Linked DNA regions of Callithrix jacchus. The protein of the gene in region 1 binds, or shares a complex with, the protein of each later gene. Links are inferred from orthologs where the notes say so. Each region holds a gene or a part of one and is shown in the gene's direction. Other genes may lie near its edges.

What was found.
Region 2: KAT14 (region 1) and MBIP share a complex: the UniProt entries of both Homo sapiens proteins name them as parts of the ADA2A-containing complex. The link is inferred for Callithrix jacchus from reciprocal best matches to the Homo sapiens genes KAT14 and MBIP.

Annotation. Positions count from the first base shown.
Region 1 is NC_133506.1:25,193,681-25,209,644, forward strand, and holds part of KAT14 (cysteine-rich protein 2-binding protein), read left to right. Parts: intron 1-3,941; coding exon 3,942-4,123; intron 4,124-6,725; coding exon 6,726-7,142; intron 7,143-7,279; coding exon 7,280-7,848; intron 7,849-15,964. UniProt on the Homo sapiens protein: Component of the ATAC complex, a complex with histone acetyltransferase activity on histones H3 and H4. May function as a scaffold for the ATAC complex to promote ATAC complex stability. Has also weak histone acetyltransferase activity toward histone H4.
Region 2 is NC_133509.1:70,905,720-70,921,783, reverse strand, and holds the start of MBIP (MAP3K12-binding inhibitory protein 1), read left to right. Parts: upstream 1-8,603; 5' UTR 8,604-8,622; coding exon 8,623-8,751; intron 8,752-12,426; coding exon 12,427-12,546; intron 12,547-14,286; coding exon 14,287-14,511; intron 14,512-14,593; coding exon 14,594-14,690; intron 14,691-16,064. UniProt on the Homo sapiens protein: Inhibits the MAP3K12 activity to induce the activation of the JNK/SAPK pathway. Component of the ATAC complex, a complex with histone acetyltransferase activity on histones H3 and H4.

The DNA of each region.
Region 1 (15,964 bases):
TGTACATAAAATGGTGTATCTCAAAGTTAATGGATCTTAGCATTGATGAAATGTAATAGAACATATTGGTAGTATCTACACTTCGATCAACTATATGAGGAGGACTCTGGGAAGGTGGCAGATAGGAAGCATCTGCCTCGCTGCTTGGACAGCAGTTGCACTGGCAGAATCTGACTCATGGAACTGTTTTGGAACTCTGTAGTCTAATAAAGGCTTGCAGTTTCCAAGGGAAGGCGTGGACAGCATATTGTGTTTCATACTGGTCAGTTTTGGTTCTTAATGCAGTAGCAGCTACCCGTCCCCCTTCTCCAGCTGCTAGGGAGAGAGCTGTTTGTGTGTTTCTGGAGCAGCTTACACACAGCTTGTAGCATTCATGGTGGGCAAAAATAAGCCGTTTTCCAAATATTGGGTATTTTGTGCTCTGATTACTGATTACTGCATCTAATCATAGAGTTAAAAAGAGGTGGCAGCCGTTGTTGTTGGAGCTCCCCACATTGCAAAAATGGGTAAAGGAATTTAGTAGACATTTCTTCAAAGATACAAAAATGTCCAATAAGCATATTAAAAGATGTTCAACATCACTAATCATTAGGGAAATGCAAATCAAATCTATAACAAGATACCCTCTCATACCCCTTAGGGCAACAATTATCAAAAAACAGAAAATAACAACTGTGGGCAAGAATGTGGAGAAATGGGAGCCCTTGTGCAAGTGTCGGTGGGAGTGTAAAATCGTACAATCATTACGGGAAACGGTATGGCATTTCCTCAGATAATTAAAAATATAATGATAGTATCTGACATTTTCAGTTCTGGGTATATACTCACAAGAATTGAAAGCAGGGTCTCAGAGATACTTGTATATCCATGTTTTTAGCAGCATTATTCACAATAACTTAGATGTGGAAGCAACCCAAGTGTCCATCAGCAGATGAATAGATAAGCAAAGTGTGGCATATACATACAGTGGATATCATTCAGTCTTAAAAAGGAAGGAAATTCTGGCACGTGCTGCAGTGTAGATGAACATATGAAACAAGCCAATCACAAGAAAACAAATATTGTGTGATTCCACTTACCTGAGGTACTTAGGGTAGTGAAAATCACAGATACAGAAAGTAGAATGGTGGTTGTCAGCACTTGGTGGGAGGGTGGAATTGGGAGTTGTTTAATGGATACAGAGTTTCAGTTTTGCCCTGTGAAAAGCGTTCTGAAGGTGGATGGTGGTGGTGATTGTACCGTATGAATGTACTTAATACCACTGAACTCAACTCTTAAAACTTGTTAAGATAGTAAATGTTAGGTATATTTTACCACAACAATAATTTTGGGGGAAAGTATTCAGGCTGTTTATAAATACTGTGTTTGTATATGTCCTGGCAACAAATTTATTCCATTCCATACAAATACTTCATTATGTGTCTATACTGTGATTTAGCTGGCTCTATTAGTTTGCTAATGATGCTGTAACACAAACTGGATGGCTTAAACAACAGAAATGTTTTCTAGTTCTAGAGGCTGGAAATCTGAAATCCAGTTATTGACAGGATTGGTTCCCTTTGAAGGCTGTGAGGGAGAGTCTATTCTATACCTCTCCCCTAGCTTCTGTTAGCCGCAGGCCTTCCTTAGCATTTAGAGGACGTTTTCCCTGTGTCTTCCTGCATCTTCCCTCTCCAGGTCTGTCTCTATTCAGGTTTCCCCTTGTCTAAGGACACCAGTCATATTTATTCAACCCAGTGACCTCTTGATCACTGTTTGCATGTAAGGTCATATTCACAAGTACTGGGACTTCATTTTGGGAGGACAAAATTAAATCTGTAACACTGGCTGATACTTTTATGAACATTTATGTTACTTCTGGTTTTCCTGTGTTTAAGTTAGCCTTGTAGGGAATATTCTTGTATATATGTCCTTTGTGTTTTTGTGATTAGATTTGTGGGGTCAGAGAATACACACAATTTTGCTGTACATTATGAAAGTAACCTCAAGAAAGTATACGCCAGTTTATAGTCCCACTGTCAATGTAGAAGTACACACCTATTTTCCACACACTAAATAACACATTGGTTTTTAAAATCTTTTGAGCCTTTTTCAATCTTTTTATTGTTTTTGTTTGTTTGAGATAGGGTTTCACCCTGTTATGCAGGATGGAATGCAGTGGCAAAATCATGGCTCACTGCAGCCTTGACCTCTTAGGCACAAGTGATCCTCCCACCTCAGCCTCCCAAGTAGCTGACACCACAGATACATGCCATCACACCCAACTAATTTTTTTATTTTTATTTTTGTAGAAATGAGGTCTTTCTGCGTTGCCCAGACCTTTTTTTTTTATTGCAGTAAAAATGGTGAAAATTTACCATCTTAACCAGTTCTAAGTGGACAGTTCAGTAGTGTTAAGTATATTCACATATTTGGATGTAGATTCACAGATTGCCAGAACTCTTTTCATCTTGCAGATCTGAAACTCTATATTAAATAACTCCATTCTCCCCTCCCCATAGCTCTAGGCAGTCACCATTCTACTTTCTGTTTCTATGAATTTGACTATTCTAAATAGTTCATATATGTAGAATCATACAGTATTTGTCTTTTTATGACTGGCTTATTTTGCTTAGCATAATGTCCTCAAGGATTATCCATGTTGCGGCATCTGACAGGATTTCCTTTATTTTTAAGATTTGAATTGTATTCTCTTGTGTATGTTTATACTACATTGTATATTAGAGGGGTTTGGAAAGATTGGAAAAAGATAAAAATGTAGGAGAGGTACTTTGGGACCAAACGGTTGGGGGTGTCATTCTCTCAGATAGTTAGTGCTTTTTTTGAGACTGACTCTTGTTGTCACCCAGGCTGGAGTACAATGATGCAGTCTTGGCTCACTGCAACCTCTGCTGCTTGGGTTCAAGCGATTCTCCTGCCTCACCCTCCTGAGTAGCTGGGATTACTGGCATGTGCCACCACACCTGGCTAATTTTGTATTTTCAGTAGAGACAGGGTTTCACCATGTCTGCCAGGCTGGTTTCAAACCCCTGACCTCAGGTGATCCACCCACCTCGGCCTCCCAAAGTGCTGGGATTACAGGCGTGAGCCACCATGCCTGGCCTCAGATGGTGCTTATGCCTACTGTAGCTTAGCTTATTTGTTTATTTTCTGTGTTTTCTTTAATAATACATCTCTGTTCTTCAGAATGCTTTTCCTTTGCCTTCCTAGAAATATCTTTTAGGCTGACCTTCTTGTGAAAGACTGTCTTTTAGGATTTCCGGCAACTGATTTGTGTTTTCAAGGTGGAAAGAGAACAGTTGTCTTAAAAGAATTTTCAACAGGGTCCGCAAATAGTTGACATTATGCACATTTTGATATTTGTCATGCAGTAGGTGCTATCTCTGTTTGTGGAGCATACCACGTAGTTTTTTTACCACTCTAGTGCATCCAAGTAGATAGGATCAGATTGAGAGACGTGTGCGACTCCCCTGGTAAAGTGAGCTCTTTACTGGAGCCAGTGATTAACTTCTATCACAAAATGCCCGGACTTGGAGTTATGCTTTTCGTGTGCTTTATTCTTGGGAGCTGTGCTTAATTCATATAAAAAAGTAACCTAATTAAAAGTAGCCTGTAGAATTCCGTAATCATGATTGTGATTGAGAAGTATTTTACGTGCTTCGTTTGAATTGTTTCATTTAACCCTTACAGCAACCCTGTGAGGTAAGTTCTATTATTCTGATTTTTCAGATGAACAAACCAAGACTGCTAGAAGTTGGTAGTGCCAGGGTGTGAAGCAGGTGGGCCCCAGAACCTCTCTCCTGCCTCTTGTGCTCTGCTCCTTCAGCAGCGGGTGGTGCCATTGCATGTTGCAGGCCGGGAGTCACGGTATACATAGACTGTCTTTCTATATAATGAGCTTATTTTAGTGCCAATCATTTTTAAATTCTTGGACTCTTTAGGAAAAAGACATCCACCTGGTGGAGCACCGTGGCAGGTTGCCTCAGCGTGGGAAGTCCCATGTACTTCCGTTCAGGTGCTCAGGAATTTGGAGAGTCGGGATGGTGGAAACTTGTTCATAACAAGCCCCCAACAATGAAACCTGAAGGAGAGAAGTTGTCTGCCTCGACTTTGAAAATAAAAGGTACTGTTGTGAGAACAATACAAAAGATGCTAGTCAGACCAGAGCCAAGCAGGCGTGAGCCCAGGAGATGCCCCTGCTTCCACTGGCACAGCTCCAAGGCTTCTCTGGAGCTAGTCTCCTTAACACTTCTGTGATGACACTTATGTGTGTGTGCTAGAAATAAATGCCACATAAAAACATTTTATCACTTCCTAATCAAGCTATCAGTTTTACAAATTTCCCTGGGTATCTGAAAGGTTCAATGTTTTCCATCTGATTTTTGTTTTTAAACGTACCATCTCACAAAGGTGAAGAGATGTTTTAAAATTCCCATAATAAATAACATAATGAATTCCCTATGCCTTCCACCTCACTTGGACATTAACTCCTGACCATCTATTTTATCTAAATCCCCAATACTTTCCCCATTCTTAAAAAATCCCAGGAATGAACATTTTCATTCTTTTTTTTTTTTTTTTGAAACGGAGTCTTGCTCTGTCCCCTAGGCTGGAGTGCAGTGGCACAATCTTGGCTCAGTGCAACCTCTGCCTCCCTGGTTCAAGCGATTCTTCTGCCTCAGCCTCTCTAGTAGCTGTGACTACAGGGGTACACCACCACACCTGGCTAATTTTTTGTATTTTTAGTAGAGACAGGGTTTCACCCTGTTAGCCAGGATTGTCTTGATCTCCTAACCTCATGATCTGCCCGCCTCAGCCTCCCAAAGTGCTGAGATTATAGGCATGAGCCACGGTGCCCAGACGCCACATTTCATTCTTAAATGTCTCAGTGTGTATCTCTAAGAGATCAGGCAGGATTCTTTCCTTTTTGCAGCCTGACCATAATGCCATTTTCACATGGAAAAAGATGTTAATAGTAACTTCTATCACATATTGATCAGTTTTATAATTTAAAAAGGTTTTAATGTGCTTTTACATTTTTATATTTACTTATTGGTTTATTTATTTGAGATAGAGTCTCGCTCTGTCACCCAGGCTGGAGTGCAGTGGTGCAATCTTGGCTCATTGCAACCTCTGCCTCCTGGGTTCAAATGATTCCTGTGCCTCGGACTCCTGAATAGCTGGGCTTAAAGGCACACACCACCATTCACAGCTAATTTTTTTGTATTTTTAGTAGAGATGGTGTTTCACCATGTTGGCTAAGCTCGTCTCGAACTCCTGACCTCAGGTGATCCACCTGCCTTGGCCTCCCAAAGTGCTGGGACTACAGGCGTGAGCCACTATTAAAACATTTTTAAAAAAAGAATGGAGATAGGGTCTCACTAAAACATTTTTTAAAAAAGAATGGAGATAGGGTCTCACTATTTTTCTCAGGTTGGTCTTGAACTGCTGGGCTCAAGTGATTCTCCGGCCTCTGCCTCCAAAAGTGCTGGGATTACAGGCGTGAGACATCATGCCTGACCTTTTGTTACTTCAAACACGCTATAATTATACAAATTTGTGTACATGTGAAAATGTGATAAATTCCTGGAAGCAGAGTTTCTATATCAAAGATCATATTCATTCAAAATTTTAATCAGGATTGCCAAATTATCCTCCAAGAGACTATAATAAGGCCAGGTGTGGTGGCTTATACCTGTAATCCCAACATTTTGGGAGGCTGAGGTCAGGAGTTCAAGACTAGCCTGGCCAACATGCTGAAACCCCATCTCTACAAAAATACAAAAATCAGCTGGTCATGGTGGCACGGATCTGTAATCCCAGCTACTTGAGAGGCTGAGGCAGGAGAATCACTCAAACCTGGGAGGCGGAGTTGTAGTGAGCCACGATCACACCACTGCATTCCAGCCTGGGTGACACAGCAAGACCCTGTCTCCAAAAAAAAAAAGGAAAGAAAGAAACTTCCCATTAAAATGCCCTCGAAAATGCCCATTTTCCCATACATTTACTGAGCTTTACCAAACTTTTTTTTTTTTTTGGCTTACTGCAGCCTCCACCGTCCAGGCTCAAGATCTATCCACTCAGCCTCCCAGACTGCTGGGATTAGAGGTTTGCACCACCATGCCTGGCTAAACTTTTACTATTTACCAGTTCCAGTAGATGAAAGATAGTATTTATGGCCGGGCGTGGTGGCTCACACCTGTAATCCAAGGACTTTGGAGGCCAAGGTGGGCGGATCACCTGAGGTCGGGAGTTCAACACCAGCCTGACCAACATGGTGAAACCCCGTCTTAAAAAAAAAAAAAGAAAAGAAAGTATTTATTTGTTTAAATTTGCATTTCAACTTCTTTTTTCTCAGGAGATATTTAAAATCTTTTTTAGTTTAGGGCATTAATTGAACATGAAACTATTCATAAAGATAAATTAGCAAAAGAAGCTAAAGTTGAGTAGTTATTTTAAAATTTAGATATGGGTTAAGCAGTCCAAATCTGAAAATCAGAAATCAAAAACGCTCCAAAATCTGAACCGTTTTGAGCACCAACATAACCCTCAAAGGAAATGCTCATTGGAGCATTTCAGATTTTGGATTTCTGGGTTTGGGATGCTCAACCAATAAGTATAATGCAAGTATTCCAAAATCCGAAAACATCTGAAATCTAAAACATGCTTGTTCTGAAGCATTTCAGATGAGGGATGCTCAGCCTGTATTTATTCTTTTCTGGCAGCCTCAAAACCAACTTTAGATCCCATCATTACTGTTGAGGGACTTAGAAAACGGGCAAGTCGGAATCCTGTGGAATCTGCCATGGAATTAAAAGAGAAAAGGTCTCGAACTCAGGAAGCAAAAGATATTAGAAGAGCCCAAAAGGAGGCGGCTGGTTTTCTTGACAGGAGCACGTCTTCTACCCCTGTAAAGTTCATAAGCCGAGGCCGTAGGCCAGATGTGATTCTTGAAAAAGGAGAAGTGATTGACTTTTCCTCCTTGAGCTCCTCTGACCGCACCCCGCTGACAAGCCCATCTCCTTCTCCTTCTCTGGATTTCTCTGCCCCTGGGACACCTGCCTCTCATTCTGCCACGCCCAGCTTGCTTTCAGAAGCAGATCTGATTCCAGATGTGATGCCCCCGCAAGCCTTGTTTCACGGTAGGACTTTGCTTGCTTTGGTCTTTTATTTTGGGTATGGGCCATAGTATAGATATACAAGTTTTCACCCTGTGGGTTTTGTGCTCTGCATTTCTTCCTTCCTGGGTCTTGATGACACTGTTTTGTATTCTGCACAGATGATGATGAGATGGAAGGCGATGGAGTCATAGACCCAGGGATGGAGTACATTCCACCCCCTTCTGGGTCAGTAGCTTCTGGGCCAGTGGTTGGGAGCAGAAAGAAGGTCAGAGGCCCTGAACAGATAAAGCAGGAGGTAGAGAGTGAGGAAGAAAAACCAGACAGGATGGATATTGACAGTGAAGACACAGATTCCAACACGTCTTTGCAAACAAGGGCTCGAGAAAAGAGGAAGCCTCAGCTGGAGAAGGACACAAAGCCGAAAGAGCCCAAGTATACTCCCGTGAGCATCTATGAGGAAAAGCTGTTGCTCAAGAGGCTGGAAGCTTGTCCTGGTGCGGTTGCCATGACTCCGGAAGCTCGGAGACTGAAGCGCAAACTGATTGTCAGACAAGCGAAAAGGGATAGGGGATTACCACTTTTTGACTTGGATCAAGTTGTTAATGCTGCTCTTCTGTTAGTTGATGGGATTTATGGAGCCAAAGAAGGAGGAGTTTCCAGACTTTCAGCTGGACAAGCCATGTACCGAACTACCTGTCAGGACTTCAGAATCCTTGACCGATACCAGGTGAATGCAGGCATTTGCTATAAAGCTGGTGGGGGCAGGAGTGGAGGTGGGGCAGGCTGTACCAGGCAGTTGACATGGTTATGCTGTGACCTTTTAAATCCTGAGTAGTTTGGGAAGAGAGAAGTAATGAGCAAGGGGAACAAAAATCACTGGGCTTTGTTTGTGACAGTTGTTTCTTAGAAGAACACCTTAGTACATCTGGGTTTTCTTTTTCTTTAACCTATAAGTGTTCTTTATCTCTCTCTCAGAGGGTAGCTGTACATGGTTTGTGTTGTAGCTTTGATAGATTTGTCGAGGCCATGACAGTGTCTCGCACACTGTGCTGCACAGGATCTGAAGGTAGAGATCTGCGTAGAGGACAGCATGAAGAAATAGTAGCCAAGGGATCAGTGTGGTGTCAGTGTTGCCCAAAGGATGATCAGTGGAACCCAAATTTTGTGGATGCTTCTGGGAACATTTAATTCCACTTAGAACTGTCTGCATATACCCTAGCACTGGGAGGAACAAGAGGCCTTATTTCACTATATCTTTGTCTGCACTTGATACTAGCCTCTAAGTTTTGCTGATTGGCTGGCTGTAAAGTGAAATCTTGTTTTTATTTACATTTCTTTGGTTAGAGGTGAGGTTAAATTTCATGGTTGTTTCTCTGCAAATTGCCTGTTTGGGGCCTGGATGCTTTTCTGTCTTCTTCTCTGGAAGCTAGTGGATTCTGCTCTCCATTGCTGGTGTTCTGGTATTATTCAGTGATATGCCATATGTAGGGCTTATGTCTTTCCTTGTGCTGGACATGTGGTGTTTGGGCCCCTTCAGTTTGAAACTTTCTTTCCTGAGTATGGAAAAGTTTTGATCTCCTGTCTTCTATTTTTTTTGTTCCCTCATTTTAGAACTCCCCTATTATTTGGATATTGGACCCTCTAGATCAAAAGTTGGCAAACTTTTTCTGTAAATAAAAAAATATTTCTGCCAGATAGTAACTATTTTAGGCTTTGCCGGCCACAAAATCTCATTGGGAACTGCTGTTGTGATTTGAGAGCCATAGTGAATGGGGCTGTGTTCCAGTAAAAAGAATGGTGGGGAGTGCCTATAGTTTACCAGGATCTCTACTCCAGATAGATCCTCTTTTCTTTTTTCTTCTAATTCCAGTATTTCCTGGGAAGCACACAGTATTAACCAGCCTGCATACCAGGAGCCAAGTTGGGAGGGCTCAGGAGCCTACCATTGAGGAAGTAAATTGACTCTCCCTGTCTTCAGGACGGTACTCACCGTTGGCTTCCTGTGTCCAGAATTTCTCTCTTGAGCCTCTGCAGTCTTCTGCCTGTAGAGGGAAAGATCATTTCCTGGCTGTGGGCAGTGTAATTAGTATACGGGTATAATTAGAGGCTTTAACCTCTTAAAGAGCCTCTCTGTCGAAATCATACCCCCCAGGCTCTAAGGCTGATGACTTCAGTGGCTATACTTCCCTGAGGCTGTGTTTTGTAAATCACCCTGCTCCTGGCTTAGCTTTACCACTGGCTTAGGTGGTATCAGCTCTCACTGAATGGCCCCATCTGGAGCCTTTGTTAGACCTTCCCAAAAATCAGACCTCCTGGCTTCTGGGGGAGGGCAGCCACCCAGCTAGAGAGAGTGGAGGGATCTGGGGATCATACTGCTTTCCACATGCTGTTTGCCTGATTCTTATTTTAACTGTCCCATTTAGTCCCAGTTCCAGAGGAATCTGCTGCTGCTGCCTGGATTTTAGCCAGTTCTGCAGTATAGATTGGGTTGTTAGCTCTCATTCAGCTTACCCAAAGCCACTTTGGGATTTTGGCGTTAAATCAGTTACTATTTGTCCATCTGCTTACCACTTACTGTTCTAATTAAGTCAGTTTCTGTAGTTTTAGTGGGATTTTGGGAAGTAGTAAAGCTATATACTTGTGTTTTAACCCAGTCTTAACTTGGATTTTTTTTTTTTTTTTTTTTTTTTTGAGACGGAATTTTGTTCTTGTTTCCCAGGCTGGAGTGCAATGGCACAATCTCTACTCACCACAACCTCCGCCTCCTGGGTTCAAGCAATTCTCCTGCCTTAGCCTCCCAAATAGCTGGGATTACAGGCATGCACCACCACACCTGATTAATTTTGTATTTTCAGTAGAGACAGGGTTTCACCATGTTAGCCAGGATGGTCTTGATCTCCTGACCTCGTGATCCGCCCAACTCGGCCTCCCAAAGTGCTGAATTACAGGCAGGAGCCACCGCACCTGGCCAACTTGGAATTTTAGTATAAATTTTAATGTATTTACACAGGGGTGGCTATAAATGCATTTATTCAATCCATACTCTTGTTTTATATTTATTCTTTTAGTGCAAGTTAAAGCGGCAGTTGCTAATGTAGAAGCAGCAACACGTTATCTAGAAGATCTAGCTAAGATTATTGATGGAAGTGGCTACACTAAGCAAGATGTTCAGTGTAGGTGAAACAGCCTTCTATTTAAAGAAGATGCTGCCTACAACTTTAGTAGTTAGAAGTCAGGGCCTCGGTTCAAAGCTTCAAAGGACAAGCCAACTCTCTTCTTAGGGGCTAATGCAGCTGGTGACTTTCGGTTAGAGACAATGATCATTTGCTCTTCCAAAAGTCTTCGGGCCCTTATAAATTATCCTAAGTCTACCCTGCCTGTGCTCTGTAAATATATCAACAAAGCTTGGATGACAGCATATCTGTTTACAGCATGGTTTACTGAATATTCTAAGCCCACTATTGAAAGCTACTACTTGGAGAAAAAGATTATTTCCAAACAATTGCTGCTCGTTGACAATATACCTGGTCACCCAAGAGTTCTGATGGAGAGGTATAAAATTAATATTATTTTCATGCCTGCTAACACAGCATCCATTCTGTAACCCATGATGGATCAAGGAGTAATTTTGATTTTCAAGTCTTAAATAAGACTTTTTGTAAGGCTATAGCTACTATAGATAGCGATTCCTCTGATGGATCTGGGCAAAGACATTGAAAACCTTCTAAAAAGCTTTCACCATTCTAGATGCCATTAAGAACATTTGTGATTCATGGGAGGAGGTCAAAATTTCTCTCTTTTTTTTTGAGACAGAGTTTCACTCTTGTTGCCTAGGCTGGAGTGCAATGGTGCAATCTCGGCTTACTGCAACTTCTGCCCCTCGCGTCCAAGCGATTCTCCTACCTCAGCCCCCTGAGTAGCTGGGATTACAGGCATGTGTCACCATGCCTGGCTAATTTTTTTTTTTTTTAAGTGGTCAGGCTGGTCTCGAACTCGTGACCTCAGGTTATCTGCCCACTCCAGCCTCCCAAAGTGAGGGATTGCAGGCATGAGCCACCGCGCCCGGCCACAGTTTTAACATTCACAGGAGTTTGGAAGAAGTTGATTTCCAAGCCTCTTGGATGACTTTTGAGGGGTTCAAGACTACAGTGGAAGATGTCACTGTGGATGTGGTGGAAAGAGCAAGAGAACTAGAATTAGAAGAGGAGCCTGAAGATGTGATCGATAAGTGTCATGATAAAACTTGAATGGATAAGGGTTGCTTCTTATGGATGAGCAAAGAAAGTGGTTTTATAAGATAATATCTACTCCTGGTAAAGATGCCATGAACATTGTTGAAATTTGACAGCAAAAGATTTAGAATATTGCATAAACAGTTGATAAATTAGTGGCACAGTCTGACTTCAATTTTGAAAGAAGTTCTTTTGTGGGTGAAATGCTATCAAACAACATTACATGGCCGGGCATGGTGGCTCAGGCCTGTAATCCCAGCACTTTGGGAGGCTGAGGTAGGTGGATCACCTGAGGTCAGGAGTTCCAGCCTGGCCAACATGGTAAAACCCTGTCTTTCCTAAAGACAAAAATTAACCGGGCATGGTGGTGTACACCTGTAATCCCAGCTACTTGGAAGGCTAAGGCAGGTGAATCACTTGAACTTGGGAGGTAGAGGTTGCAGTGAGCTGAGATCTCATCCCTGCCCTCCAGCCTGGGCGACAGAGCAAGAGTTCGTCTTAAAATCAACCAACCAAACAAAAAGAAACAAAGAAACCCGGCGTCACATGCTACAGAGAAATCTTTTGTGAAAGGAAGAGCCAATCAATGTGGCATACTTCATTCTTGTCTTATTTTGAGAAATTACCCCAGCCATCCCAACCTTCAGCAACCACCACCACCCTGATCAGTTGGCAACCATCAATATTGAGGCAAGAGCCTCTACCAGTAAAATGATTGACTCACTGAAGGCTCAGATGATTGTTGGCATTTTTTTTCTTTTTAGCAATAAGGTATTTTAAATTAAGGCATATACACTTTTTTAGACATAGTACTATTATTGTACACAATGACAATATATTGTCAGCTTTTTTTTTCTTTTCTTTTCTTCTCTTTTTTTTTTTTTGAGATAGCCTCGCTATCACCCAGGCTGGAGTGTAGTGGCACAATCATGGCTCACTGTAGCTGTCAGTTGACTTCCTGGGTTCATGCAGTCTTCCCGCTTCAGCCTCCTGACATGCTGGGATTACAGGCATGAGCTACCACACCTGGCCTTAAACAATTTTTATATGCCTTGGAACACCAAAAGTTTGTGCAGCTTGCTTTATTATGATATTCACTTTATTGCAGTGGTCTGGCACCGATCCTGTAATGTCTCTGAGGTGCACCTGTATTTTAAATTCCCAGTCCAGTAGTTGTAACATCTTTGCCATATCTCAGTCTGGTTTTGATGTTTGTTCTGTTTTTTTCAAGTTGTGTTTTTTGCCTTTAGTATACCTTGTAATTTTTTGTTGAAAGCCAAAAATAATGTTCTGGGTAAGAGGAGCTGTGATAAGTTGGCTGTTGGAAATGTGGGAGGTGTGGGCAGGGAAAGCCCTCTATAAGCTCTGTGAGTAGTTCTCAGTCTTTTGAACCTGTGCTCTGGGCTGTGGACTTCAAAAGTGCTTCTCACTTTTCTCCCCAGTCAGCTGGGACTGGATGGTTAGAGGGTATGGAGTTAGGTATTTCTCTTCTCCCAGGTCAGTTAGGCTCTGATTAAATCCCAACTGGTTAGGCTCTGATAACATAACTTCTCCTAAGGGCAGGTGTTACTAAGAACACAATGCTGTGTTTAGTTTTAAGATGGTTCCTTTTCCCCTCCTCCAGCTAGAAGCCAGAGGGGAGTTTTCTTTGATATTCACTGTGAGACCCTGTTCCAACTTCTGGAGGCAGGACTTACCCAGTGGAGTTTTTCTCTCTCAGACTTGTCAGCATTGAGCCTCTAGCAGTTCTTCATTTCTTCAGGGCTTTCCCACGCGGATGCTGGTTCCCACAGAGGCTCTGCTTCCAGGCACTGTGATTCTCTGTCTTTCTCTCCAAGTTTGAGGGCAGTGGTTTGCCTTGTTACCTCATGTCTTTTATGTATGTAAGAAGAGTTCTTGATTTTTCAATGTGTTCAGCAGTTTACTTGTTAGACTGGAGGAACAACTTCTAAGCGTCTTAACCTGCCAGACTGGAAACCAGAAGTCCTTGTATGTGCTGCTGTGATCTAGGAAATCCCCCATTATTGCTTCTTTAAGTGTATTCCTCCTTTATATTTTCCTCTTCTGGACTCTGGATATGGATGTTAACACCATTACTTTAGCTGAAGCCCTGAATCCTTGAGTTGTTACTACCCAAAAAAGCCCCTATTCCTACCACCCCTGAATTAACTTTCTGCTTCTGTAGGTTTATGTACTCTCTAGACATTTCACATAAATGGAGTCATATAATATGTGGCCTTTGCAGAACACTTTCATTCACTTTGCATAATGTTTTCAAGATTCATCCATATTGTAACGCATATTAGTATTCCTAAGTATGGCTTAATATTCCATTGTATGGATAGACCACATTTGGTTTATCCATTCATCAGTTGATGGACTTCGGGGTTGTTTCACCTTTTAACTATGAAGATAAATACTGCTTTGAACATTGTATACAAGTATTTGTGTGGACACATGTTTTTATTTCTCTGAGTGTAGATCTAGGAGTGGAATTGCTGGGTCAAATGGTAACTGTATGTTTAACTTTTTGAAGAATTGTTAGACTGTCTTCCAAAGTGGCTGTACCATTTTACATTCCCACCAAGCAGGGCATGAAGATTCTGATTTCTCTACACATCCTTGCCATATTGTTCTTGTCTGTCTTTTTTGTTACAGTCATCCTAGTGAGTGTGAAGTAGTATCTCATTGCAGTTTTGATTTGCATTTCTTTGATGACTATTGTACCTTAAAACTCTTGTCTGCTTGGTAAATTAAATCTTCCTTTTCCTGTTTAACTTGTTTAGTTTGTTATCCTTTTGTTTTCTTACAGTTTTTTTTTTTTTTTTTTTGAGGTCGAGTTTCGCTCTTATGCCCAGGCTAGAGTTTAGTGGCACGATCTTGGCTCACTGCAACCTCTGCCTCCCGGGTTCAAGCAATTCTTCTGCCTCAGCCTCCTGAGTAGCTGGGATTACAGGCACCCACCACCACGCCCAGCTAATTTTAGTACAGACGAGGTTTCATCATGTCAACCAGGCTGGTCCCAAACTCCTAACTCAGGTGATCCACCTGCCTTGGCCTCCCAAAATGCTGGGATTACAGGCATGAGCTACCGTGCCTGGTCATTTTCTTGCACTTTCTATTTATGGGTCTGGATTTTTTCTTTTTCCTGTGAACTCATACCCTCTTAGTGATTTAAGCTACCTTTGCTGGGATTTTATGCCTGGGGGAGAGAGCAAAAGCCTGGTTCCTAGCTTTTGACCCTGTCAGCAAGTTTAATAAAATGGGAGGTTCTGGGCAGAACCACTTCTCATCCTCTCTTTTTCCCACAGTCAGATGCCCTCTTTGCTTAGGGAACCTCCCAGGACCTCTTGCCCAGGTGCTGCTTTTGCTCTCCCTCTGGTGTTGCTGCCTAGGACTGTGGGATGCTCAGGGGCTGCCCCGAGTGGTATCCACCCTCTACACAGGAAGGCTCCAGTGCTGCTCGGGCATTATCTTCCAGTCAGTGTGTAGCTGGCAAAGTCGATTGGCAGTGATCTGCCTCTCCCAGAGAAGTGCTTGGGGGAGGTGATGACTTATCCAAGCAGCCTCTGACACATCTGTGGGGCAGAGCCTTTTTCTGCCCTCTCTACTCTGCTGCCTCACTCGTACCCAGGCACCTGGCACCTCCCCCTGGGCTTTCTCCCAGCCTTGTGTTTAGCCTTCCCTCTCATGTCTGTAGCATCTATTGGATTGGGCTTGGGAAGGGAGTAGCCAAGTAGCCCACCTAGATCTCCATTGTTTAGAATTAGAAGTGTAAAGAAACTCATTTAACATTTTTTCACACTTTTTTGACATTGGGATGCTTTTTTCCCCACACTTTGCCACTCAGCAAATGTCAGTTAAGTGATAACATACACCAAGAGCCATAAAATGGCTCATACCTGTAATCCCAGTACATTGGGAAGCCAAGATGGGCAGATCACTTGAGCTCAAGAGTTTGAGACCAGCCTGGGCAACATGAGAAAATCTCGTCTCTACAAAAAAAAAAAAAAAATTAGCCAGGCATGGTGGCATGTGCTACTCAGGAAGCTGAGGTGGGAGGATCACTTGAGCCTAGGAGGTCAAGGCTGTAGTGAGCCATGATAATGCCACTGCACTCTAGCCTGGGCAACCGAGTGAGACCCTGTCTCAAAACAACAACAAAAAAGCCAGGCACAGTGGCTCATGCCTGTAATCCCAACACATTGGGAGGCCGAGGCAGGCAGATCATGAGGTCAGGGGTTCAAGACCAGCCTGACCAACACGGTGAAATTCCATCTCTACTAAAAATACAAAAATTAGCCAGGCATGGTGGCGTGTGTCTGTAGTACCAGCTACTTGGGAGGCTGAGGCAGGAGAATCACTTCAACCTGGGAGGTGGAGGTTGCAGTGAGCTGAGATTGCTCCACTGCACTCCAGCTTGGGCAACAGAGTGAGACTTCCTCTCAAAAAAAAAAAAAAATTGCAAAGCACTATTCTAGCAGGGGAACTGCTGTGAACTAAGACAGGGTAGGTCCCCGTTCTTATGCAGAGGACATCCTTGAGCAGGGAGCTGACATTAACTAACTAACGAGGCAAATGTGATCACAGCATGCAGGGTGAACACGGGGG
Region 2 (16,064 bases), on another chromosome or scaffold:
TAAGTTAGCCCAAGGAATCAAAATCTTTTCAGGCTACAAACTCTTCTATTTAAAATAGAATTTTCTATTATAAAACAAGAAAATGAGAAAACTTTCCAAAATGAAGGTAATAGACACCAAGAAGGAGTAAGAAAGGTCCTTAGAAAGAAGAAAAATGCCCAAGAATTAACAAATTCTAAGTACTAGTGGTTGAGTACCCCTTATCTGAAATACTTGGGAACAGAAATGTCTCAGACTTACAATTTTTTTAGATTTTGGAATATTTGCATACATATAATAAGCTATCTTGGGTATGGGGTCCAAATCTAAACACAAAATTCATTTCTGTTTTATATATGCTTTATAAACATAGCTTGATGGTAATTTTATATAATGTTTTAAATAAATTTGTTCATGAAACAAAGTTTTGGCTGCCTTTTGACTGTTGGATCAGGTATGAAATTTTCCACTTGTGGTATTGGTGCTCAAAAAGTTTCAAATTTTGGATCATTTTGGATTTTGAATTTTCAGATTAGGAATGCTCAACCTGTACCTAAGTAAAGAATACCAAGATAGAGGAGCCAGTCTGGATATCAAATCACAGAATTACATGGAGAAGCAATACACAAGTCAAATGACCATCAGTTAATTCTCTATTAGAGACACAAAAGAACAAGTAAAACTTGAAAAATCAGAATCAATGATGGCAAAGAAAGGAATGAGCAGCACCTTGTTAAAGACAGTATTCTTTTAATGTACAAAGCATATCCCTAAATGTGTTGCCTATCCATGTTCTCCATATATGAAACAATTCTGAAACACTTCAATGAAAACAAGTGATCTGAAATTGATTGCCAATTTGGTAGAGAAAAAAAGCTTACAGTTATCCCATTACAATTATTCTCCTACAAGAGAAACAGAGGCGGCTGGGTGGGTGGCTTACGCCTGCAATCCCAGCACTTTGGGAGGCTGAGGCGGGTGGACCACCTGAGATTAAGAGTTTGAGACCAGCCTGACCAATATGGTGAAACCCTATCTCTACTAAAAATACAAAAATTAGCTGGGCATGGTGGCAGGCTCCTGTAATCCCAGCTACTTGGGAGGCTGAGACAGGAGAATCGATTGAACCCAGGAGGCAGAGGTGGCAGTGAGTGGAGATGGCACCACTGCACTTCAGCCTGGATGACAGAGGGAGACTCTGTCTGAAAGGAAAAAAAAAAGAAACAGAGACAAAGAAAATATGCTAACATTGCAAAGAATCATTAATTTAGGCTAGATATGGAGATGAGAAGCTTGAATAAGAAGGTTGCTCAATTTAAGATTGGACATCGTGAAGTCTTTTTCTGCCTCTAGACATAGGATGGATATCTTGCTGCTAGCAAGGGAATAGAAAAGATTTCCCAAAATTCTGTCAAGCCTGGTGATCCCATTTGTTTTTGGAAATGAAAGCCTAATTAAGAGACTCCCTAGGGACAGGTCAAAGGAGTTCTTTTATTCTCACCATCCTTATCCTATTTCCTTGATATCTTAGTCCTTCCCTCTAATTTAGTCTTCCCTAAGACTAAAGAATGCACATTGTGAAAGTTTCCACCTTTGCTTCCTCTACTGTAAATGCATTGACTATTAACAAAATTAAGAGTTTTAGATCCCACCTTCCTTATCTCTAAGCTGATGTTTATTTCTTAAAGTGTTTTTGAATGAAACTTCACACTAAACATTCTGGTAATACTTGTTTTTTTATTGAATAACACTTTTTTAAAATATTGGAGTCTGACTAAAAGATTGCAAAACCCCGGACTGGGACTCAAGATGGCACGGTGAGAACAACCCAGGATCGAAGCTCTTGGGGAACAAGCGGAGGGTGAGTCAGGTCCGCATTTCCAGATGGATCTTTGTTGCCCACAGAACGGGGAAATTCCCAGAAGTAAAAGAGACGCGGGATGCCAGGCAGAGGTTTTGGCTGGCGCAGCTGGCAGCCGGTGCAGCCGGTGGCCAGCGCTGTAGCGCAGCGGTGCTCCACAGCGCTCCGCACAAAATGCACTCGTCCAGGTGCCCTGTTGAACCGGCAATCTGAGACTTGAGAGGGCAGATTTGCATATCTACCTGACTGAACAGGACTTGGACAGTGAGCCAGGCCAGGAGATTCCAGGGAAACGGCGTTTGGGGTAGCGCAGTGGGAGAAACAAAATGGCGATTCCAAATGCTCCTGGTGGAGAGTTTCACTGCACCAGGATGGTGCAGCTCGGTGGAGGAGGGGCGTCCGCCATTACCGAGGCAATCCGCCCCTACTGAGGTACACTCCCATTCCTGACACAGCCTGCCACTGCCAAAGCAACCTGCCACAACAGAGAGACTCTGCCGCAGGGCATAGCCCATGGTAGCAGGGCGGAGACCGCAGACGCAGGGCAGAGCCTGCAGCGACAGGGTGAACCTCACACCAGCAGGGCGGAGCCTCGGCAGGCAAATAGTGACTAGACTGCCTCCAAGTTGGGCAAGACAGCACAACGGATGCTCACAAAGAAAGCCCCAACACCCGAGACAGAGCATCTGAGAAAAAAAAGGGTTTTTTTATGAGTTATGCTGCAGCAGAATTAAACGTAGCAGCCTAACAGCCCTGAATGAACAACAGAGCTCACAGCTCAGCACTTGAGCTCCTATAAAGTACAGACTGTCTCCTCAAGCAGCTTCCTGACCCCTCTATATCCAAAAGACTGGAATTTGGCAGGCATCATTCTGGGACAAAAATAGCATAAAAAAAAAACTGGTAGCATCCCTCACTGTTCTGCAGCTGCTATAGGTGCACTCCAGAAAAGCAGAGCCTGGAGTGGACCTCAGCAGTCATACAGTGAAGGGGCTAGACTGGTAGAAGGAAAACCAAGTAACGGAAATACTTCATCATCAACAATCTGGGCGTCCACTCAGAGACCCAATCAAAAAGTCAGCAACTACTCAGACGACAGGTGGATAAATCCACAAAGATGGGAAGAAACCTGTGCAAAAAGGAGGAAAGCACTCGAAACCAGAACACCTCGCCTCCTACAAAGGACCAAAACTCCTCACTAGCAACGGAACAAAGCTGGATGGAGAATGACTGTGACAAAATGACAGAATCAGACTTCAGAAGGTGGATCATAAGAAACGTTTGTGAGCTAAAAGCACATGTTTTCAATCAATGCAAAGAAACTAAGAACCTTGAAATAAGATTTGAAAAAAATTCGAGAAAATGATAATCAGAATGGATAACTTACAGAGGAATATGAATGAATTAAAGGAGCTGAAAAACACAATACGAGAACTTCGCAAAGCATGCACAAGTTTCAACAGCCAAATTGACCAAGCAGAAGAAAGAATATCAGAAGTTGAAGATCAACTCAATGAAATAAAACGAGAAACCAGGATCAGAAAAAAAGTGCAAAAAGGAATGAACAAGGTCTCCAAGAAATGTGAAACTATGTGAAGAGACCTAACCAACGTTTGATAGGCATACCAGAATGTGACAAAGAGAATGAATCCAAGCTGGAAAATACTCTTCAGGACATTATCCAGGAAAATTTCCCCCACCCAGCAAGACAGGCCAACAATCAAATGCAGAAAATACAGAGAACACCACAAAGATATTCCACAAAAAGAGCAACCCCAAGGCATATAATCATCAGATTCAACAAGGTTGAAATAAAGAAAAAAATACTAAGGGCAGCCAGAGAGAAAGGTCGGGTAACCCACAAAAGGAAGCCCATCAGACTCACAGCAGATCTCTCAGCAGAAACACTACAAGCCAGAAGAGAGTAAGGGCCAATATTCAACATCCTTAAAGAAAAGAACTTTCAATCCAGAATTTCATATCCAGCCAAACTGAGCTTCATAAGTGAAGGAAAAATAAAATCCTTTGTGAATAAGCAAGTACTCAGAGAGTTTGTCACCACCAGGCCTGCTTTACAAGAGCTCCTAAAAGAGGCAATACACATAGAAAGGAACAACCAGTACCAGACATTCCAAAATCACACTAAATGCTAAAGAGCATCAACATAATGAAGAATCTACATCAACTAATGGGCAAAACAGCCAGCTAGCATCAAAATGGCAGTATCAAATTCACACATAACAGTATTAACCCTAAATGTAAATGGACTAAATGCACCAATCAAAAGACACAGACTGGCAAATTGGATAAAAAGCCAAAACCAATCAGTGTGCTGTATCCAGGAAACCCATCTCATATGCAAGGATACACAAAGGCTCAAAATAAAGGGATGGAGGAAGATTTATCAAGCAAATGGAGAGCAAAAAAAAAGCAGGAGTTGCAATTCTCATCTCTGATAAAATAGACGTTAAAGCAAGAAAGACCAAAAGAGACAAAGAAGGCCATTACATAATAGTAAAAGGATCGATAAAACAAGAAGAGCTAACAATCCTAAATATATATGGACCCAATACAGGAGCACCCAGATACATAAGGCAAGTTCTTAATGACTCACAAAGAGACTTAGACTTCCACACAATAATAGTGGGAGACTTTAACACTCCACTGTCAATATTAGACAGATCAACCAGACAGAAAATCAACAAGGATATCCAGGGCTTGAACTCAGACCTGGAACAAGCAAACCTGATAGACATTTACAGAACTCTCCACCCCAAATCCACAGAATATACATTCTTCTCAGCACCACATCACACCTATTCTAAAATTGACCACATAATTGGAAGTAAAGCACTCCTCAGCAAATGCAAAACAACTGAAATCATAACAAACAGTCTCTCAGGCCATAGTGCAATCAAGTTAGAACTCAGAATTCAGAAACGAACCCAGAACCGCACAGCTTCATGGAAACTGAACAACTGGCTCTTGAATGTTGACTGGATAAACAATGAAATGAAGGCAGAAATAAAGAAGTTCTTCGAAACCAATGAGAATGAAGACACAACATGCCAGAATCTCTGGGACACATTTAAAGCAGTCTCTAGAGGAAAATATATAGCAATAAGTGCCCATATGAGAAGAGTGGAGAGATCCAAAATTGACACCCTATTGTCAAAATTGAAAGAGCTAGAGGAGCAAGATCAAAAAAACTCAAAAATCAGCAGAAGATAAGAAATAACTAAGATCAGAGCAGAACTGAAGGAGAAAGAGACATGAAAAACCCTTCAAAAAATCAATAAATCCAAGAGCTGGTTTTTTGAAAAGATCAACAAAATAGATAGACCACTAGCCAGATTGATTAAAAAGAAAAGAGAGAATAACCAAATAGGTGCAATAAAAAATGATAAAGGGGAAATCACTACAGATTCCACAGAAATTCAAACCATCATCAGAGAATATTACAAACAACTCTATGCACATAAACTAGTAAACCTGGAAGAAATGGATAAATTCCTGGACACCTGTGTCCTCCCAAGCCTAAACCAGGAGGAAGCTGAAACTATGAATAGACCAATACCAAGGTCAGAAGTCGAGGCAGCAATTAAGAGCCTACCACACAAAAAAAGCCCAGATCCAGATGGGTTCACAGCCGAATTCTACCAGACAAACAAAGAGGAGCTGGTACCATTCCTTCTGAAACTATTCCAAATAATCCAAAAAGAGGGAATCCTTCCCAAATCATTTTATGAGATGAATATCATCCTGTTACCAAACCCGGCAGAGACCCAACAAGAAAGGGAAACTTCAGGCCAATATCCATGATGAACATAGATGCAAAAATCTTCAATAAAATATTGGCAAGCCGATAGCAACAGCAAATCAAAAAACTTATTCATCATGATCAAGTAGGATTTATCCCGGGGATGCAAGGCTGGTTCAACATACGCAAGTCTATAAACATAATTCACCACATAAACAGAACCAAAAACAAAAACCACATGATTATCTCAATTGATGCAGAGAAGGCATTTGACAAAATTCAACAGCCTTTTATGCTAAAAACCCTCAATAAACTCGGTATCGATGGAACATATCTCAAAGTAATAAAAGCTATTTACGACAAACCAACAGCCAATATCATACTGAATGGGCAAAAACTGGAAGCATTCCCTTTGAAATCCGGCACTAGACAAGGATGCCCTCTCTCACCACTCCTACTCAATATAGTACTGGAAGTTCTAGCCAGAGCAATCAGGCAAGAAAAAGAAATAAAGGGTATTCAAATAGGAAAAGTGGAAGCCAAATTGTCACTCTTCGCAGACGACATGATAGTATGCCTAGAAGACCCCATCGCCTCAGCCCAAAAACTCCTGAAACTAATAAGCAACTTCAGCAAAGTCTCAGGATATAAAATCAATGTGCAAAAATCACAAGCATTCCTCTACACCAATAACAGACTTAAAGAGAGCCAAATCAAGAACGAACTGCCATTCACAATTGCTACAAAAAGAATAAAATACCTAGGAATACAACTCACAAGGAACGTAAGGGACCTCTTCAAGGAAAACTACAAACCACTGCTCAACGAAATCAGAGAGGACACAAACAAATGGAGAAACATTTCATGTTCATGGTTAGGAAGAATTAATATCGTGAAAATGGCTATACTGCCCAAAGTAATTTACAGAATCAACGCTATCCTCATCAAGCTACCATTGACTTTCTTCACAGAACTGGAAAAAACCACCATGAACTTCATATGGAACCAAAAGAGAGCCCGCATAGCCAAGTCAATTCTAAGCAAAAAGAACACAGCGGGGGGCATCACACTACCGGATTTCAAACTATACTACAAGGCTACAGTAATCAAAACAGCATGGTACTGGTACCAAAACAGAGATATAGAGCAATGGAACAAAACAGAGGTATCGGAGGCAACACAACATATCTACAACCATACAATCTTTGATAAACCTGACAAAAAACAAGCATTGGGGAAAGGATTCCCTATTTAATAAGTGGTGTTGGGAGAACTGGCTAGCCATGTGCAGAAAGCAGAAACTGGACCCCTTCCTGACACCTTACACCAAAATTAACTCCAGATGGATTAAAGACTTAAACATAAGACCTGGCACCATAAAAACCCTAGAAGGAAATCTAGGCAAAACCATCCAGGACATAGGAGTAGGCAAGGACTTCATGAACAAAACACCAAAAGCATTGGCAACAAAAGCCAAAATAGACAAATGGGACCTAATCAAACTCCACAGCTTCTCCACAGCAAAAGAAACAGTCACTAGAGTGAATTGGCAACCAAGAGAATGGGAAAAAATTTTTGCAGTCTACCCATCTGACAAAGGGCTGATATCCAGAATTTACAAAGAACTCAAACAGATTTACGGGAAAAAAACAAACAAGCCCATTCAAAAATGGGCAAAGGATATGAACAGACACTTTACAAAAGAAGACATATATGAAGCCAACAATCATATGAAAAAATGCTCATGGTCACTGGTCATCAGAGAGATGCAAATCAAAACCACATTGAGATACCATCTCACGCCAGTTAGAATGGCGATCATTAAAACATTTGGAGACAACAGATGCTGGAGAGGATGTGGAGAAACAGGAACACTTTTACACCTTTGGTGGGAGTGTAAATTAGTTCAACCATTGTGGAAGACAGTGTGGTGATTCCTCAAGGCTTTAGAAATAAAAATTCCAATTGACCCAGCAATCCCATTACTGGGTATATATCCAAAGGACTATAAATCGTTCTACTATAAGGACACATGCACACGAATGTTCATTGCAGCACTGTTTACAATAGCAAAGACCTGGAATCAACCCAAATGCCCATTGATAATAGACTGGATTGGAAAAATGTGGCACATATACACTATGGAATATTATGCAGCAATCAGAAATGATGAGTTTGTGTCGTTTGTAGGGACATGGATGAATCTGGAGAACATCATTCTCAGCAAACTGACACAAGAACAGAAAATGAAATACCGCATATTCTCACTCATAGACGGGTGATGAAAAATGAGAACACATGGACACAGGGAGGGGAGTACTAAACACTGGGGTCTATTGGGGGGAAAAGTGTAGGCCCAGCACGGGGGTGGGGGTGGAAGCTGGGGAGGGATAGCCTGGAGAGAAATGCCAAATGTGGGTGAAGGGGAGAAAGGAAGCAACACACACTGCCATGTGTGTACCTATGCAACTGTCTTTCACGTTCTGCACATGTACCCCAAAACCTAAAATGCAATAAAATATTAAAAAAAAAAAAAAGAAAAGATTGCAAAACCCCACAAGTATCTTTATAATAAAGTTATATAATACTTTGTAAAGTTTCAATTCGGTTTTATGTCCTTCTAATTTCAAAGATTGTGGTTGCATATTATTTATCCAGGTTAAATTCCTGTTGGAATGATACTGACAGTGTTTCACATAGTCCCCTACTACCAACATTCACAAGGAACATCCAGGAGTCAAGGTAAGCTTCATGATGCTAACCCTTAAGAGACCACGACTCTAATGACCACCCCAAAGACAGCATTCTAGCCTAGCTTTGGTCTGCAATTCACTTCAGAGCTTCGGGGCAATGCCACAGCTGCAACTGATTGGTGTACGTGCTTGTCAGTCACATACAGAGGGTGGAGCCTCAAAGCCCGGATATAAACGAGACGCCGTGTCGTACGTCATCACCGAGCGACTAAAGCGGAAAAGGGAGGGGGCGGGGCTGTGAGCAATCCTTGGCGGCCTGAGAAGGTGTCATGGCTGCTGCCACGGAGCTTACTCGCCCGAGTAGCGGTGACAGGAATGTGGAGCGAAGATGCAGCCCCAGCCTCTCCCGAGAGGTGCTCTGCGAAATCTTTCGCTCCCTGCACACCCTGGTTGGACAGGTGAGAAGTGGCCTCAGGGATTGAGGGTATGGAAACCATCCGGCCTCTCCCCCTCATTCTTTTCCTCTAGCGGAGGCCAGAGGCAGCGAGGCCTGCCAAGGTCTGAGGTGCGGCCCCTGAAGCCGAGGTCGGGGAGGAGCCCGGGCCGAGCCGTCTCAGTCGGAGTGAGGAGGATGGCGGTACCGGTTGCCAAGTGGTTTACCTTGCAGCTGTCCTCCCCAGCAGTGGGTGAGGATGGTTTAAGTGAAAACCCGGCCCCGAGAGGAGCAGACTTGGAGAGAATGAATGTGGAAAAGCTTAACTGCGGATTTATGAGGCGCCTCGCGCTCAGGCTCCTTTTTCTTCCAACTTACTCAATTACGGGAATTGGTTGGTCAGTAGGCCTGAGATTTATAGAAAAGCGCGCTTATTAGCTTTTTTCAGGGGCTAGAGGGAGTAATTTGTTCTTATGAGTCACTTGGTTTTGTTTATTTCTTCTTTCCTTCGGGCTGTTTTGTGCATCTATTACCCTTTTAAATGGAGAGGAAAGTAAAAGGAATTCATTTAAAATACTTCTAGCGTAAAGTTGGATGAGTTATCCCTCTTTGATGTTGTTTGCAATAGAACGGGCGTTATTTAACTATTATTAAACGGGCGTAGTTTAACTGGCTGATAAATCGCTTTTGCAGAAATGTGGTAAAATTGGTTTTAAATTTAAATGGACTTCTTATTCTCTGTGATCAAGTCACTGTTTCGTTTCATGGTGTAAAATTCAAAGCAGATTTTAAATGTGAAACAGTTTAAAATTATGCTTCTTCACCTGCTTATTAAAAGGAAATATTTTCTATCTTACATAGACCATTTTCTAGCCGTAAAAGTTTGTTTTGGAGCTGGTACTAGTGCCTGTGGACACAGCAGGCATTTGTGTCAAAGACAATGGTAAATTCCTATAAAAATAGAACATTTGTCTGATTTGTGAAAATTATTTTTTTAAAGCCTTGAGTAGATGGAGAATCAGTCTTTTAAAAAGTTACTAAAGTAGTTTTAAAAATCGTAGTATGTTGTGTCTTACAAAGAACATTACTGTAAGTTTAGCGGTTTTATGTAATGACGCAGTTGTTAATGAAATCTGCTAAAAGATACAACTTTTAAACTCAATTGTTTGCCAAGTACTTACCAAAAACATTTTTTTAAACACTTGGGGTCTTTTGTTATTAACATTGTAGTCTTAAGAACCAAAACCTCTAAATGGTTTAAAAGTTAGAGAACTTTTTATGGCGACGTCGGAACTTGTTTATTTTCTAATGTCAAGATAAAAAAAGTTTATGCTCACCTATTAACAGAAGATGGAATATTTAAAAAAAATATTGAGCAATGATTTAAACTTTTCTTTTGAAATATTTTGCATACTGAATTTTTCAAACTCATTAGAAAATTTTAATGATTCAAGTACGGTAAAGTACAATTAAAGAAATGATTACAGTTTACTTATGTCACTTGTCAAAAATGTTGACAGTAAATATTTGGTGACTTTACTGTGACACAGTGAAGGGACCTCCTACACAAGTGTCAAAAATATGATTGTTTCATCAATTAAATGTAAACCACTTTCAAAATACTCTGTATTTTGAGAAATGTTTTTTAAGAGTGAAAGCCAGAGTTCAATACTTATAAAATTGCCCCCCCGAGAAATCAGTATTTTCTTTTGCGACCAGTTTAAAGGATTTTTAAAATGTATGTTGTAACATACCTAACTTATCCTGTGTCATCCCTAAGTATCATTGTATTATTAGATCTCCTCAGTAGGAAACACAAAACTGAATGTTAAAAATAATTTTTTACTTCAGATCACAAAATTTACTAATTTTAACCTTTTTGCTTGCCTCTGGATGGCCCATCTTACCAAGCTGAACAATTACTTATTTTTAGCTTGGATTTTTGTATTAATTTAGTAAAGTTAATGAAACTACATATTTAAATAGTCTATATTAATAGCAGACTAATAGAGATTTTCAAGTGAATGGTTTACTCTTCCAAGTTCTGTAGGGCAAAATGCATAGGATTCATGTGACTAATAATGAATGTCTTGAATGAATAGTTAGATGAATTAGGATAGTTTTATAATTAATTTGTGACATTATGTGGTTTTCTTAAAAGACCAATTATTCTTAATTGCACTTGAAGGTTTATATAATTCTGCTGAATTGAAATGAGAATATGAACCAAACATTAAGACTTATTTTTCTATACGTTATTTTCTCTAGAAAAATGTGATACTTTGCTTTGGTTGAGGATTTGCCTGCTTTATCCCCAAGCTGTATTCATAAGTTTTCTATAATCGAGTATAGATCTCTTTGAAGACTACAAAAGTATATTAATGGGTTACTTCCATACATAATATGGGTTGTTGTGTAGCAAAATCTTTATAGGCATTAAAGTAATATAAATTAATGCATTAACTTTAAAGTCTTAATATGTTCTAATCTTTGCCAGTGCAGCCTACATGAAATTTCATATATCTTTACACTTGTTTAATATGGACTTTTAAATTCTTCTGTTCTTATCTTAAAAGGGCAGTAAATTTCTGTCACATAGTGTTTATTCAATATATTATCTTTTTATTGGTAACCTTACATCTTTTTGATCTTTGTACAGTGATTCATCTTTATAACTCCTAAAATCTGTATTTGAACTAACGTAACAACTTTATTTTGTAGAAAAGATGATGAATTTTGAATTAATTATGTAACTTGTTTCTTTTATGGAATATATTCTTATGCTATCCTGTAAACATATGTCCCTAGGAAAGTTTATGATAGTTCACTTTTATTCACTCAAAAGACTGCAGATGGGTGCTATCACTGTAAAATTTTCATTCATTTTGATAATAATCTTATATTCAGGTTCTTTGTAATTTTCTGGGTATGATTTTATTCTGTTAGATCACCAACTGATACAAATTTCCATATAATGAGCCCTCACATCTTACCATTTAGCAAAAGATCTGGCCATTTCATCCAGTCTGACAACTTATTTCACTATTGTGGAGAAGTCTTTGTTTTTCAGCTTCAGACTTCCATAGCTAACTAATAGTTTTTTATTTGAAATAAACATGTTGCCATTTATCCCTGCTTTTAGTATGTATGAGTAATCTTGACTTTTAAATTAGTTTAAAATTTGGTTAAAGGTGAAAACAATAACAATGTGATTTGGAGAACATCAGAATAGTGATATATATCTGGTATGTATTTGTGTACGTACTTAAAGAGAAAAATGCATGTTAAAACTTTCACAAAACAGTTGTGCTTCCTCTGTTTACGGCTCTGAGCTAGAAGTAGTAGGATTCTGAATAGGGTAAGCCTATTTTGGACTCCATCCAAAGGTTTGTAGATATTGAAGAATCAAAAGAGCCTTCATCTTTTCATCTTTCATGAATGGTTTCACCTCTAAAATGATCCCGTTACACAGACCCAAGAATAGAATTTGAATGACATGTCATTTTGTTTTTGTTTTTTATGAAAATCTGTAGCTTTCGTGGCCATTTAAAATGGTAACTAGGTAGAGCATTTCAGTGTAAAACTTGATAACTTTGAGCAAAATAGACACGTTACTCTTGAAATCCTTTATTTGTGACAATTCCATATGTACAGTTTAATCTTATAATTTTTGTGATGTTGCTGGTTTGCCTTTTTGAAGCTTAACCTCAGAGATGATGTGGTGAAAATTACAATCGATTGGAACAAGCTCCAAAGCTTTTCGGCATTCCAGCCTGCGTTGCTCTTTAGTGCACTTGAACAACACATTTTAGATTTACAGGTAAATTTCTTGTTAGAAATGATAACCCGATATTGAAAACAGAAATTAATTGTGGTTAAATTAGAGTATTTGTCAGTTCTAAACACTCTATTAATAGTGTTGCTAATAAAAGGTTATTTACATCCAGATTGGATCTAAATCTGTTAATTTCAGTAGTGATCAGGACAGTTAAGGGAATATAGCCCAAAAGACTAATGTGGGTATGAGAGTGAATGAATGCAGTTCTGTTCAATTCTAGACCTGCACTGAAAATTCAATACAGTTCCATCTATGGTGGGTTATAATTAAGCAATAAGACACGGCAGGTGTGTGTCATGCTATGATAATGATTCCATGCCTTGGGTGAGTTTGGAGGCTCATGGAGTGCTTTCAGTGGTTCAAGAAGGGGCATTATCCCAGCATGACACATCCTGGAGTGTCTATTGCAATTAAACAGTTTCAGCATAGTTTTTAAAAAGAAAGTAATTTCTGTGACATTAATGTCTCATCTTAGTAAGTAGCCAGTCACTGTTTTCTTTTTCTTAACAGTTTGAAATAATTTATTCTTTATATTAGAAGCTAATATTGAACTGGTATTTATAATAGCATTGTTATATTTTTAAGTATTTCATGTTATGACCTTGCTAGTTTGTAATTGAACATCTTTCCAATTATAATTGATGTAAGTTTGCAGTTTATCTCTAATTAAAGTGTAAAATGTAAAGTGTCAAAAAGATAAGTGGAAGAACTGTTTGGATTGGTCAGTTTACTGTGATTAAGATGTTATACGGTTTCAGGAGAGTATTTGGTATAGCAAACAAGGGAAGCAAAATTGTGGATATGAAAAAAATAATTGGAACGTTATTAGTGTTAGTGTGTTTTGACTAATGGAATAGGCATTAATTTTCAGCTCTCCATTTATTGACTTTGTGGGAAATTTTAACTGTTTCACGTTAAAAGTAATAGTTAACCCTGTTTTCAAAGGGCAGAGCAGTGAGCTATAGAACTCAAATGAGGCCTAATTGTGTGGAGTGGGGGAGGAGAACAGTAAATGGATAATATCATTTATATTCTACAATAGGGGTTTTTTTCCCCCTGTAGTATAGTGATAGGCCTCTGCCTGTTTTCTGCCATAGATTTTTTTTTCTTGTTAGTTTTGTTTTTTAAAATTTAATCTTATGGCCCAAGAAGATATTTGCCATGTCAGGAAAAGTCTTGAGTGTTCACTCAGCCTAACACCTATATATTTCCTGTCTATGCTTCCTCATTCACATTGGCCAACTGCAGTTTCAAGTGGAGAATCTCCAGTGATACAGTGATAATGCAGGGCTTTGCTGAGTGAGAGCACTGGCTCTCCTGTTAAGGAGGAAAAATACTAAGCCTTAGTGTTCTGAGGAGGCATTTGAATGACATGTTAATTAAGTGGCATTGGTGCCAGAGGCTGAAGGCTTTGATTTGGCACAAAATAAAAGATAAGTGACAGAATGATTCTCTCAAAGAAAATTTTAAATTTCCTTAGGTTTTCTAATCTTTTTTCTTTTTTCCTCTCTTCTTTTAAAATTTATAGCAAATGATAATGGTTACAATAGCAAAGAATAGTAAATACTTATATGAAGTCAGATCTATGTGTCCTGGTGTACTAACTTTTTATATTTAGTAATATTAAATATTTAATTTAGCAGAAATTTATGTAAATATATTAAATGTGTAATTAATTTGGGTCAGTTTGAATCTCAGCAGATGGAATTGTGTTGTTCTCAGCCTTTTTTAGCAAAACTTCAGTCTCCAGTTAAAGAGGAGAATACAACCGCTGTTGAAGAGATAGGAAAAACAGAAACGGGGAACAAAAATGAAGTAAATGACAAATTTTCCTTTGGCGACCTACAAAAGGAAGAAAAGCACAAAGAATGTGATTTAGGAGATGTGAAAAAGACACAGATCCATTTTGATCCAGAAGTAGTTCAGATAAAGGCTGGAAAAGCAGAAGTAAGAAGTTTTTTTGGTGGGGATGAGAGGGTATTACTTTTAAAAATCTTATGTTTACACTGTTAAAACTTGTTGTTTGTAGATTGACAGACGAATATCTGCATTTATTGAAAGAAAGCAAGCTGAAATCAATGAAAACAACGTCAGAGAGTTTTGCAATGTTATTGATTGTAATCAAGGTAACTACCTAGAAATTAATTTTCATAGGATTTTAAGTACAATTTTTATAGTTGCTCTAATCTTTTATTTATTTTTTAAATGAATGGCTTTAAGAACACAATTCAGTTTATTTCACAGGTTTAGTTAGTAACTAAGGCAGTAGACTTTTCTTCTGCTTAATAATAGACTATGTTGCAAATTGGTTTTGATTTTGGTTACACAAAAATCAAATAAATGCAAACATTAAAAGTGTTTACCACAGGTGAAGATTATTTTAAAGTTCCTTTAGGAAATGGTGGTGAGTTATGAAAGACAGGGTTGATCAATCTCAATAGTAAAAGGAACTAAGCTGTATGAATTTCAAACCTATAAATGTACTATGAAATCATGATGTTAATATATGTGAACTTAGTAAAGTTAATATTCCTCCAGAGGGAACAGTTTTCTCACTACCCCTGAGCTGTTTGAAATGTCCTATGTCACAATACAACCAATTTATCATGAAGACCATGATGTCTTGCTTTTTTCCTTTCTGTCATAGTGCATGCATTTGCTGCTTTTCATCAGATTCTCCTTTACCTCTTCACTTGATGCTACAGTACATTTACAAATCTGCAGGTACGCTGCAGAATACAAAATATTGTAAAGCAGTGCCATAGATCATACTCAGTCATCATAGTAATAATCAGAACAAGTAGTTCTTAGGAAAAATTATGGAGAAGAGTTCATATGGAATGAACATTTTTCTTGTTGCCTCTAATATCTCATGGCTAAAATTATTATGAACATATAATTGACAGATGAACCTAGAGATGACTCATATCACATTGGTACACTGATTCTCTTAATAATGAAATAATATAAACTGGTCCTGAATTTAGGTGTGTGCTACTATTAACATTATACATGTGCATATCTAAATATGGTATATTTTCTTGTAGCTTTTCAGAATAGGTGCAACAATGACAAAATCTCAGGTACTACAACCAACTGCAAGCGACTATGAGAAAGGATTTGTTGAGAGAGCAAGCACATGTGTCACTAATGTTATTCCTCTGTTCTCCCTGCTAACTCTATTATTATAAACCACCAGGGGATAGAAATTGACAAGAATTGAAATGCTCAGCAGGATTCCTTGGCCCATTCAATTCCTTGCTGGCTCAAAACAGTGCTAGCAAGAATTGCTGTGGAGAGTGGCTAGCACTCATACATTCACACCATGCTGAATTTCTCACTGATGGGTCAGTTAATCTATATGTTTGGAATATAGTTCTGGAATAGATGATAGCTTCTTTTTTTAACCCTTAGCCCCATGAAATGGTAGGAAGAGAATGCAAAAGGATGACCCTTTAAGCATATTTTGAGGTACATCCATAAAAAAAAAAAAAAGAAGA